3 linked regions of the Ovis aries genome follow. The protein of the gene in region 3 purifies or fractionates together with the protein of the main gene of each other region. This does not show direct contact. Links are inferred from orthologs where the notes say so. Each region holds a gene or a part of one and is shown on either strand. Other genes may lie near its edges.

Region 1 (3,747 bases), on a different chromosome or scaffold from region 3:
AGACAAAGGGTAAAAGAAAAATCAGGCAGATAGAAACAAAAACAAAGGAACATACATACACACACACCCATATATACACAAAAGAAATCAAAACAGACCAAGGAAAACAAAACCCAAGAGAGTCCAATAAAGTCAGGTCAGTTCTTTTGACCTGATGAACAAAAGAAACAAAAATTAAATCAATCAGTTAAAAACAAAACTAACTAAAACAGAAAACAAAACCAAAGCAGAGTGCCAACTGAACAATAAAGCAAAGAAAACAAAACAAACAAAAATGGTGGGGGTAAAAGAGACAAAAGAGAAATGCAAAGTTAAACAGAAGTATGTAAAAAAGATCCACATATATTAAAGAAAAACAACAACAACAAAAAGAACCCCCAGAAAACAACAACAACAAAAAACAAGCCAAAAAAGCACAGAACAGCAGAAAGCTAAACAGAAATAGACTGTATAAAAGAAAAAGTAAGATTTAAAAGAATCTCAAAAACCTAAATAGAAATAATAATAGTAATAAAAATAAAAACTACAACAGAGAAAAAAGAGAGAGAGAGAAAAAAAAAGGAAAAAAAACCAGAACCCACAACAGAAGGAATCAAAACATAAGAATAATAATAAATATTTTCTCAGGGATCAGCTGTCAGCATCCTTTCCCTTCACTGTGAGCCACAGCCCATCTCCACTTCCCTAGGAGGCCCTCCAGTGCTGGGGAAAGCAGGTCGACCTGCTGTGAGGACAGACTCTGATCTGGCCCTGCTACTGGGTATGCTTGTCTCCAGTGTCTGCAGCTGCCAGAGCTAGAGGGTTTTCTTTTCAGGGAACATTCTTTGTCTTCATATATTCCACAGACACAGGGTTTACCTAGTTGATTGTATGGATTTAATCTGCAGCTTGTGCAGCTGATGAAAAGGGTTTTAATCTTTTTCCTTAGGCACTCTGCCCCTGGAGCTCAATTGTGGTTTTATCCCCACATCTACCTGAGGGCCATCCATAAGAGTCTACTCCTAAGGCTGCCCTGGAGGACTCGGGTCCCCCCGAGTGATGACCAGGAGTGGAGATGGCATGGCTGCTTGGATCGGGGAGACTCCCAGAGCACCAGGCGCCATGGGCTCAAGGGATACGACTCTAATAGTCTTTTCTAGCTTCTGGCAGCTGGTGTTTGAAGGGCTGCCCTCTCTGGGATCCTTCTCTACTGCTCAGGGGCCAGTGCTGGTAACGTGGGGAGAGAGAGGCTACATAGACGGCTCCACCCCCTGCATGTAACTTACCAGTAGCGCCCTGCTTCCGGAGCCGCCCTGTTTCCCTTCAAAGGCTGTTTCCCTTAAATCCTGCTGCAGATTTCCTCCTTTCCTTCAGGTCATCTCCTCGGAATCAGTAGCAGTCCTCGCCCTGGGTTTGCTCTCCAGTCTACATGCTCCAGCTCCCAGCTGCCATGCGCCATCGGTGGACGTGCATCCTGGGACAGGTTATGTAGGGCCGCGGCTCGGATTGTCTGTGTGGTTTTCACTCTATTCGGACTGTCATGGATCAGCTGCTTCACCCTCCGACAGCCCCAAATGCTTCCCTTTCTGTCCCAACTGATTCCTCCGGATGTGGGAATCTCTCCCCTGCTTCAGCTCCCCCAGCGCTTTCTCTCCTCTTCCTTCTCCTCTCTTTCTTTTGTCCTACCCAGATATGCGAGTATCCATAAAATCCTTTCCAGTGGTCAGGGACTCCTGCTAGTGTTCAGGCCGTGTTCTGTGAGAACTGTTGCATCTATAGATGTATTCTTGATACATCCATGGAGAGAGATGTACTCCATGTCCACCCACTCCTCCACCTTCTTGAGTCCCTTCTGTTTCTTCCTTTTTTACTGCTGACTACTGTTTCATTTTATAGATACACTCCCATGGTTTATCCATTTGCCTTTTGGTGAGTATTTAAGTTATTCCTAGCTTTGGATTATTATTAGAGGAGCTGCTATAAAAATTAATCTGCAAGTCTTTGTATATATATTATATATTATTTCTCTTGAGTAAGTGCTTAGGAGGGCTTTTGTTTTATTATATGCTAAGTGCAGCCATGAAATTAAAAGACGCTTACTCCTTGGAAGGAAAGTTATGACCAACCTAGACAGCATATTCAAAAGCACAGACATTACTTTGCCAACAAAGGTCTGTCTAGTCAAGGCTATGGTTTTTCCAGTGGTCAAGTATGGATGTGAGAGAGTTGGACTGTGAAGAAAGCGAAGCACCAAAGAATTGATGCTTTTGAACTGTGGTGTTGGAGAAGACTCTTGAGAGTCCCTTGGACTGCAAGAAGATCCAACCAGTCCATTCTAAAGGAGATCAGTCCTGGGTGTTCTTTGGAAGGAATGATGCTAAAGCTGAAACTCCAGTACTTTGGCCACCTCATGTGAAGAGTTGACTCATTGGAAAAGAGTCTGATGCTAGAAGGGATTGAGGGCAGGAGGAGAAGGGGACAAGAGAGGATGAGATGGCTGGATGGCATCACCAACTCAATGGACATGAGTTTGAGTGAACTCCGGGAGTTGGTGATGGACAGGGAGGCCTGGCGGGCTGCAGTTCTTAGGGTCGCAAAGAATCAGACATGACTGAGCAACTGAACTGAACTGAACTGAAGTGTACTTTATAACAAATAGCCAAACTATTTTCCAAGTTTTATTGTGCTACATTTCTGCCAGTAATGTATGTTGTAGTTATTTCACATTCTCACTGATTCTTCGTATTGTCAACTGTTTGGATTTTAGCCATTCCTGTAGGCTTTTAATTTTCATTTCCCTGATAACTAATGATATTGAATAGTTTCTCATGCACTTATTGGCCGTTGCTTATCTTATTTTGTGAGGTAGCTGGGCAAAGTTTTTGCCCATTTAAAAAGTGAGTCATTAGTTTTATTATTCAGAGTAAGAATTCTTCATATATTCAGGCTTTATGTCCTTTGATGATATATATTGAAGCCCTAATCTATGGTTGCCCTTTCATTTCTTTAAATAAAACAAAACAAAACATTTATTTATTTATTTGGCTGCTCCAGGCCTTAGTTGTGGCACCCAGGATCTTTAGTTGTAGCATGCAAACTTTTAGTTTTGGTGTTTGGGGTCTTGTTGCCCGATCAGGGATCCAGATCCACACTCCTCAGTGGAAGTACAGAGTCTTAACCACTGGGCTGCCGGGGAAGTCCTATTTTTATTTTTTTTTAATGCGGATATTTTGAAGGAAAGATTAAAATTTTTGATTTGTAAATGTTTTCTGCTATGAGTTGTGCTTGTTTGTGCTCTAAGAAATCTCTGCCTACCCCAAAGTTTCAAAGATTTTTCTACTCTGTTTTCTTCTAAGAATGTTATAGTATACAGCAATGAAAATCAATGAACTGTACTGACATACTACACAGTAAATCTCAATGAACATAATATTGAGCATAAAAAGAAAGGCACAGATGAATATGGTTTGTTTTCATCCATATAGAGTGCAAAAATAGTAAAAACTAAGCTGTATTGTTTAGAGATGCATAGGTAAATGGTAAAACTTATAAAGTCAAGAAAATTCTTATCTCCAAATTTGAGATAGTGGTTATCTCTTAGGGGAGAACGTGGGTTATGATAAAGGATGGGCACACAGAGGCCTCTGAAATGATCCTATTTTGTGCCTTTGGGTGGCAGTTACATGGATGTTTGATTTACCATTCTTTATTAATATATGTATTTATGTTTAGTGCACATTTTTGAATTTGTTTGCATTTCACAATCTT
Region 2 (3,747 bases), on a different chromosome or scaffold from region 3:
CTAGCAGAAATCTTTTTTTTTCCCCGGCAATGATTCAGCCCATGAAAAGCAGTGGACTTTTAAAACATCTCTCCAACTTCCTTTTCCCCCATAAAGGTGTCCTCTCCATTTGCATGCAAGTTCCCAGGGTGGCAGACCTCAAATTGCAATTCTTTTCATAATAAACTTGTTTATGCTAGAGAAATAGTTGGCAGTCCATTTATTTTAGGCAGACAATATGTGGTGGCATCTCATTGGTTTTTCACAGTTTCCTAATATCCTATAATATTGAGCATCTTTTCATATACTTACTTGTCATTTGTATCGTGAGAAGTCTGTTGAGATCTTTTGCCTTTTCTCAATTGCATTTTTCCTTCTCTGGCATTTCTAGTATACTTTGGGTAACAGTATTTTATCAGCTATGCTTTCTGCAAATATTTTCTCAGTTTGTGGCATCTCATTACCTCCAGATATCTTTTTATAGTATGTAATCATGCTATATATATAATCAACTTTTCATCATAACACTATAGCAACCATTTCCCATTTTGCTTCAGACTTCCCAACCATCCTCGTATGATGCTGGTTCCTCCGCAGCCCCACAGAAGAGATTATCCCCACTTCACAGGTGAAGGAGATAAATGCCTGGGAGCTTGCTGCCTAGGGTTCCCGCGCTGCTGACCTGCAGAGCTCAGAATCCCCCGGGGAAGCAGCCCATCGTCTCCGGCCCTGCCCGCCGCGCCCGGCAGGTTTCTGTGAGTGGTTTCCGTGACTCGGCATTTCCTCTGTCCTCTCGGCCTCCCAAACCGCTCTGAGAGCACGATCCTCAGTCTGAGCGCGTCCCGGGGTTTCAGAACGGGCCCGGAGACCTTTCCAGACGCGGGGCGGGCGCTCTCCCCACCCTCCTCAGGGGCAGGAGCGGAGGCGGAGCGAGCAGTCCACGCCCTCCGCCGGCCGGGCTCCCTCAGTCGAAGCGCCGGCGGCGCGGACACCGCATCGGTGTCCCGGAGCGCTGACCCCGGAGCGCGGGGCCCCAGCGGGCCCACTCCGCGAGGAGCCCGAGCGCGCCGACCACTGGACAGCACGCGACGGACGGCTGGCCCGCGGAGCCGGGCGCGGTGAGGGCAGGGCAAGGCGGGGCGGTCCCCGCCCGCCTCCCAGCCGACGGCTCCGCCCCGGAGACCCCTAATCGGGCCCGGCGTGCCACCCCGGCCTGCGCCGGCCAGGTACTGCCGGGCGTCGGAGCAACTCTAGGCTGCCCCGCCGCCTCCTTCCTCACCCGGCCTGGGGCCTCAGGAAGTCTCCCGCGAAAGCGAAAGCGAATCTCTCGGTGCGTCAGCGCGGGACCGCCGGGCCCAGACCAGTCTCTGGGGCAGGCTTCCGGCAGGGGGCGGGGCTTCTGCTTCCGGTGGGTGGGGCGGGCGACGCGGCTGCCGGAGTTCGGGCGGTGGGCGTGGCCCGCGGCGTTCCTGAGGTCTGGCGGTGGGCCAGTGGGGTGGTGGGCGTGGCCCGCGAGTTCTCAGAAGGCAGACGGTGGGCCTTTAGGGTGGTGGACGTGGCCCGCGAGTTCCCGGAAGTCAGACGGTGAGCCGGTAGGATGGTGGGCGTGGCCCGCGAGTTCCCGGAAGTCAGATGGTGAGCCAGTAGGAGGGTGGGCGTGGCCCGCGAGCTCCCGGAAGTCGAGCGCCCAACTGCCAGCCGTCGGCGGTCCCTGCGGCGTCTCGTCTCGCCGGGAGTTTGGGTCTGGCGGGACCGGGCAGAGATTTGGCTCCCGCGCGATAACTGCCTGAGGTGGAGACGGCCCGCCACGTGGTTTGCGCTGTGGTGTCAGGGGAGGTGGCCGGTCTTCCCTGCGGTGTCGTTACGAGCTTTCGCCGCCCCGGGTCACGGGGGCGCCGGGGCCGCCGCTGCTCGCGACGCCGTCAGACGCCTTCCCGCGCCGTCTTCGAGGAGAGCTGGGAAAGAAGGGTCGACGGGCACGGCGGGGAGGGCGTCGTCCCCCGGTGGCGCGTGCTTTTACTAAGTGACTGAGCGCGCACACGCTCTCGTAGCCTCTTTAGAGTTTTGAAGAGGGTGAGCGCCACCCTTCTTTGCTCACGCTGGACAGCCTCCCACAGAGGCGGGGTTACTGTTCATTACTTTGTCTCTCGCTGTTCCTTCGGCTCTTCCTTGCTCGGAGCTCTTGCGTGTCCTGGACAAAGCCCGAGGCCCGTTACACTCAAGCGACTTTGCAATAGAACCGCTATTACTTCTCCCTCCATTCACACATGAAGAAATCAAGGCAGGAGTGACTTCTTCCTTGATCTACGTTTTGTAACCATCAGGTACGTAGGTGCAAGAGTGGGGAGGAGATTGTAGTCAATTATAAGTATGGGGAACTGCCCCCTTCTAAACACAAAAGGGAAAGAGGAAGCTTGTTTAAAGCAGTTGAGGTATCTCATCATCGTAATTATTATTACTGGTAAAACAACTATCATGATTAACTGTAATTTGCATGCTTCACTGAGCTGAATTGAGCACCACAGATACATTGCACTTTCAGGATTGTGAATATTCACGAGAATAAAGAAAAATATCCCTAAATAACAGTTTCCAAAATTGAAAATTTCTCTTGGATGCTTATTAATCAACAACATGGTAATACCACCAGTATGAGCTGGGAATTTGAAAAAGCACAGCTTCCCATGCTATGGTTGGACGTTATACTTCGGCAAAAATGATCGTGTTAACCTGTAGAATATTGATTTTGAACCGCATGTTTTCATATGTTTTTAAAATTTAGTCTGTACTTTCCCTATGTTTCTGAATGTAGCATACTTATTTAGTATAGGTGAGCAAAATTGTAAGATTAGGTCTTTGAATCTGATTTTAAGGAAGACAAATTATTGTTTACTCTCTGGAGAAGTAGCATGTGTTACTGAACTGATAGTGGAAATTTGAGTGAAGACATTAAGACTCAATTCTGGGATCTGTTACTCTAGGTGAATCATTAAACTCCAAATTATAGTTTCTCAGTTTGTAACTTGGAACCGATGTATTAATAAGTTGGTACTTCACAGGGTCATCATGTGCAAGATACACTGGGTTGAACTCTTGTAGTTTTCTCTCTTGCTCAGAGCTCTTGTTTATCTGAGGCAAAGCATCAAGCAGTTAAAATCAAAGAACCTTGAGAAATTCCCATTGGATGCCTGAGTAAAAACAGAGTTCCATGTGCAGAGGAAAAGGGGGTCATGATAGTCGGGTAGCCAGCATTTTCTGTCAGACTCCTCATGTATGGTCCTCACTGAAACACTGAAAAAAATCGCCCTCAACCACTTAAAGGTAAATATGAAATTTTTTTAACTTAAAAAAATTATTTATTGTGATACACAGAAAAGAACACACATCATAACTGTTTGACTCTCTTAATTGTCCTGAAGTGAACATTAAGAAGAGACAAGTATCGCCCTCACGCCCGACACTTCCTTCCTTCCCTGCTGGCTGCTTCCACCTCTCAGTAACTACTGCCCTAAGTGTTAACATTGTAGATTCATTTTCCCTGGCTTTTTGATGTTATATATTGTTAGTTATTTGTATTCTTCCCCAGTTTTACTGAAGTATAGTTGACAAAATTGAATGTCGATATGAATATTTTTTATATAGACTTACAGATAACTTGTGAAGTTTCTTGGAATTTCCAATTAATTTCAATTAATTTCCAATTAATTTCAATTAATTTTCCAATTAATTTTGAAAATCCATTAAAATAGACCGTTATATTCTCTGTTG
Region 3 (3,716 bases):
CTAGTTGTGGAGAGTGGGGCCTCCTCTCCAGTTGCGGTGCTTGAGCTTCTCCCTGGGGAGGCTTCTCTTGTTGCCGAGCAGAGGCTCTCGGGCGCATGGGCTTCAGGAGTCGCAGCAGGTGTGCTCAGTAGTCGTGGCTCCCGAGCTGCAGAGCCCAGGCTCAGGAGTTATGACACCTGGGCTCAGCTGCTCCGCAGCATGTGGGATCTTCCCAGACCAGGGATCGAACCCATGTATTCTGCATAGGCAGGCAGATTCTTTCCCTCTGAGCCACCAGGAAAGCCCCTGACCTTTCTTTTTACTGTTTAATGTGCCAGCTGTGAATGTGACTTGGATGTGTGGCTTGTTATATATTTCTGTTGGCAGTACTGGTCTAGGGTATGTGGTAGATGAAGAATCAAAAGATGAAAGCCCGGTTGAGGAGAGTTCCCCTTGTGGATTCCACAGACGGCCAAAAGAGGCCTCCCCAGCCACACTGCCAGCCTCAGGGAATCCTGTGGGGTTTACTCACCAGCTTTTCCCTTCCTTCCCAGGATTCTATATGGGAGAAGCCAGTGGAGGTTGTGCCCCATGCACTGATGGGATAGACTACACCAATCATTCAAACACCCTCCCTTCTTGCCTACCTTGCATGACTTGCAAATCAGGTCCAGAACCTGTGGTCCCCTGTGCCTGCGGTTAGGGTGCTGGGTGATGAGATGGGATTTAAATGGGACGAGGAGTCAGAAACCTGATTTCCATCCCAGCTAGGTCTTCAGCTTGTCTTAGGTCAGTAAAATAAATGAAAACAGAAGTTATTTGCATGACGCATGCCAACTGGTAGGGAAGTCCCTCAGAACATCAGCTGGAAAGAGGGGAATAACGTGTCCCTTGATGGAGGGGGCTGGATGGTAACAGTGCAGAAGGCCTGGGGGAGTGGGGCAGGGCTGGGTTTGAGCTGTGTGATGTGTCTGATCTTGGGCCAGCCTCCTGTGGGCGCTATGCCCTCGCTCTGGGGTCTCAGCCTCTCTCAGTCTTCATGACCTGAGATCCCTCTGCCTCTCCAGCAAGGCATCACCCGTTGGGACATCACCTAAGGGTTCCTCTCCATCCACAGCATCTCAGATTACACCTCACCCCACCCCACTTCTTGCTCCTCATTTGTGATCTAAAATATTTTTCTTCCCAACCCTGATGCAATCCGTAATGATGCCCAGTCCCTTTTGTATGCCTCTGTTGGTGACACGTGAACAGTGGCTGTTCTATGGATGGTCTATGTGTGTTGCCACAGAAAATGACCCCAAAATTACTTAAAAAAAGATTAATGCATTTATTTTTGGCTGTTCGGGGTCTTTGTTGCGGAACAAGGGCTTTCTCTCGTTGTGGTGAGGGGGGCTGCTCCGTGCTGCTTCTCATCATGGTGCACAGGCCCTAGAGCACAGGAGCAGTAGCTGTGGCTCCCAGGCTTAGCTGCCCTGCAACATGTGGGGTCTTCCCAGACCGGCGATGCAACCTGTGTCCCCTGCTTTGACAGGCGGATTCCTAACCACTGGACCAGCCAGGAAGCCCTCCGAATTACTTCTTGAACTGAGTGGATGGAGATCTGGGTGGTGAAGAAGGGGTGAGAGACATATGAGGGAAACACACCCTCAAAACCTTATCTTTGGTCTCTAGGAGAAGAAGAAAAAAATCGCTGCACCCCCACCAAGGACACTGAGTGTCAGTGCAAACCTGGCCCTTTCCGTGGAGAAGAGGCACCTGAATTCTGTCAAAAATGCAGCACCAGGTGAGACACAGGAGCCTGGGGGGCTTCCAAGCCACAGGAGACCCCAGTTTCCTTGTATCCATTTCTCTCCCCTGCTTCCTTGAAGCCCTTCCCACCTCTCAGAGCTCCCTTGTGCCTGTGGGGTCTCCTGAGCCTGCAGCAGCGCTCCCTACCACCACCGTTTGTCCTGCACGGCTTTCCCAGTGGCCCTTTCCCACGTCTCCTCAGGAGGGGCCTAGAAAGATGGAAGGGCTGACAGCAGACAGAAGTCATGATGAGGCCACGTGTGTGCTCCTTCAAGGTTCCTATAAAACTGGAGCCAACTCGACAGGGCTCGCACCCAGCCCCTTGTTCTCCAGTAGCACCTGAATCTTTCCTATTTGGGGACTCAGGGGCCAATAGTAATTCACTATCCTCTGATGCTCGTGTTTGCTGAGATTGGTAGGAAGAGTCAACAGGTGGATGAGAGGTCCTCGTATTCAAGTTTGACTGGAGGATGAGTCAAACTTGTGTCCACACCCTTCTGACCCTTGACATGGACGAGGCCCCCACCTCACAGACCTTCGCATGCAGCCCAGGGAGGCCAGGCGGGCCTTGCAGAGGAAGCTGAGCTCCTGAAGGACAGCTCTGAACACTCAGTAGGAGCCTGGGGGCCGCAGTACACAGTCCTGGATCCTTCTCCCACCCAGTGAGGGGAGTGAGGGGACCCTCCCCTGCAGACAGCAAGAGCCTGTCCCCCCTCCACTGTCTTGTCAGGGGACCCAGGATGGGAGGCTGCCCCCTCTTTCTCCTCATCCAGCCAGCTGTCCCTGATGGGTCCCCTACATCATCCCTGTGTCTGTACCCAGGTGCCCTGATGGGAAGGTCATGGTCACGGACTGTACCCCCTGGAGCAACATCAAGTGTGTGGACCAAGAAGCAGGTACCCTGGCCCATGGGGAGGCCCCAGTTCCTGGAGAGCTAGGAACTCCCTCTCCCTCCTCAGGCACTTCAAGGCTGGTGATTGGAATTGTAGCTGGACTTGGAATTGTCCTAATTGGATGTGTTATATGGTGCTTCTTTAACAGTGAGGTTCTAGAAGGGAAGGAGGAGGTGCTGGCTCCCTCCTCCATCTCCCCAATCCTCCTGTTCCTCCTGGCTTGTCTCTGATCTTGTTCCCCAGGAAACCCTTCCCACTTCACCTGGTCCTACAAAACCGTGATCACATCGGGCCCCCAACTCAGCTGATGGTCCCCTCTTCCCCCTGGCCGAGTCTGGTGGGAGGAGGCAGGAGAAGAGGGTGGTTCAGTAGCACTGCACAGAGATTTTACATGGGTTTCATTTTACTTCATTTTCTCCCTTCTCGTCTCCTCCCCGAGGGTTCTCCAGACTCAGAATGTCCCGCTTGCAGTCACAGGCCCGGGGCTCTTTGTTCAGTGTCTGAGCCCCCAACCTGCACCCTGTCCCTAGGAAGGGAGGTGCGGCAAGAGGGCCCTCCCCACCACTCAGTGGTTGTCTCTTTCTTCTAGGTCTCTCTGATGAGTGCTGGCACAAGGTGATCGGTTTCTCCAGCATCTGGCCGCATCAGACCCTCAGTAACAGCTTCCGCCCCACAACAATGCCCAGGGTGGACGTGGTCCTCGGTTTGTCCTATGCTGTTTTCCCTGACTCCCTCAACTGGCCTGAGGGCTCTAGGTTGAATGTAGGAGGGAGACTGGCCTGCTGAGAGCTGGCCTAAGGCTGGTTGGCAGCGCTGGCCCTGTCCTTACTGTTTGAGACACCCTCACTCTGCAGCCCCGGGGCGTGGGGGGTGTCAGGCAGGGGTACTCAGTTCCCCTTAGCATCACACCAGAGTCTGGGTGCCATCAGCACAGCCCAGATGTGCTGAGTCTCTGCCCACCTGGGGGACACAGCACAGGAGTAGGCGGTAAGGCAGAACCCACTGTGTCCCCCCAGAAGCTGTAAGGGTTTGTGGGTTTGTGACTCCTGGGTC

What was found. The genes of interacting proteins can lie anywhere in the genome.
Region 1: the proteins of tumor necrosis factor receptor superfamily member 10B-like (region 3) and CFLAR purify together in Homo sapiens (affinity purification with western blotting, with the first as the bait; 5 studies listed by BioGRID). This does not show direct contact. The link is inferred for Ovis aries from reciprocal best matches to the Homo sapiens genes TNFRSF10B and CFLAR.
Region 2: the proteins of tumor necrosis factor receptor superfamily member 10B-like (region 3) and RIPK1 purify together in Homo sapiens (affinity purification with western blotting, with the first as the bait; 3 studies listed by BioGRID). This does not show direct contact. The link is inferred for Ovis aries from reciprocal best matches to the Homo sapiens genes TNFRSF10B and RIPK1.

The regions. Positions count from the first base shown.
Region 1 is NC_056055.1:203,444,251-203,447,997, forward strand, and holds the start of CFLAR (CASP8 and FADD-like apoptosis regulator), read left to right. Parts: upstream 1-1,351; 5' UTR 1,352-1,462; intron 1,463-3,747. UniProt on the Homo sapiens protein: Apoptosis regulator protein which may function as a crucial link between cell survival and cell death pathways in mammalian cells. Acts as an inhibitor of TNFRSF6 mediated apoptosis.
Region 2 is NC_056073.1:49,697,686-49,701,432, reverse strand, and holds the start of RIPK1 (receptor-interacting serine/threonine-protein kinase 1), read left to right. Parts: upstream 1-945; 5' UTR 946-1,205; exon of another isoform or gene 1,206-1,376; intron 1,377-1,653; exon of another isoform or gene 1,654-2,303; intron 2,304-3,038; exon of another isoform or gene 3,039-3,300; intron 3,301-3,747. UniProt on the Homo sapiens protein: Serine-threonine kinase which is a key regulator of TNF-mediated apoptosis, necroptosis and inflammatory pathways.
Region 3 is NW_024599721.1:42,308-46,023, forward strand, and holds the start of tumor necrosis factor receptor superfamily member 10B-like, read left to right. Parts: upstream 1-809; coding exon 810-819; intron 820-1,653; coding exon 1,654-1,765; intron 1,766-2,592; coding exon 2,593-2,810; intron 2,811-3,168; coding exon 3,169-3,366; intron 3,367-3,716. UniProt on the Homo sapiens protein: Receptor for the cytotoxic ligand TNFSF10/TRAIL. The adapter molecule FADD recruits caspase-8 to the activated receptor.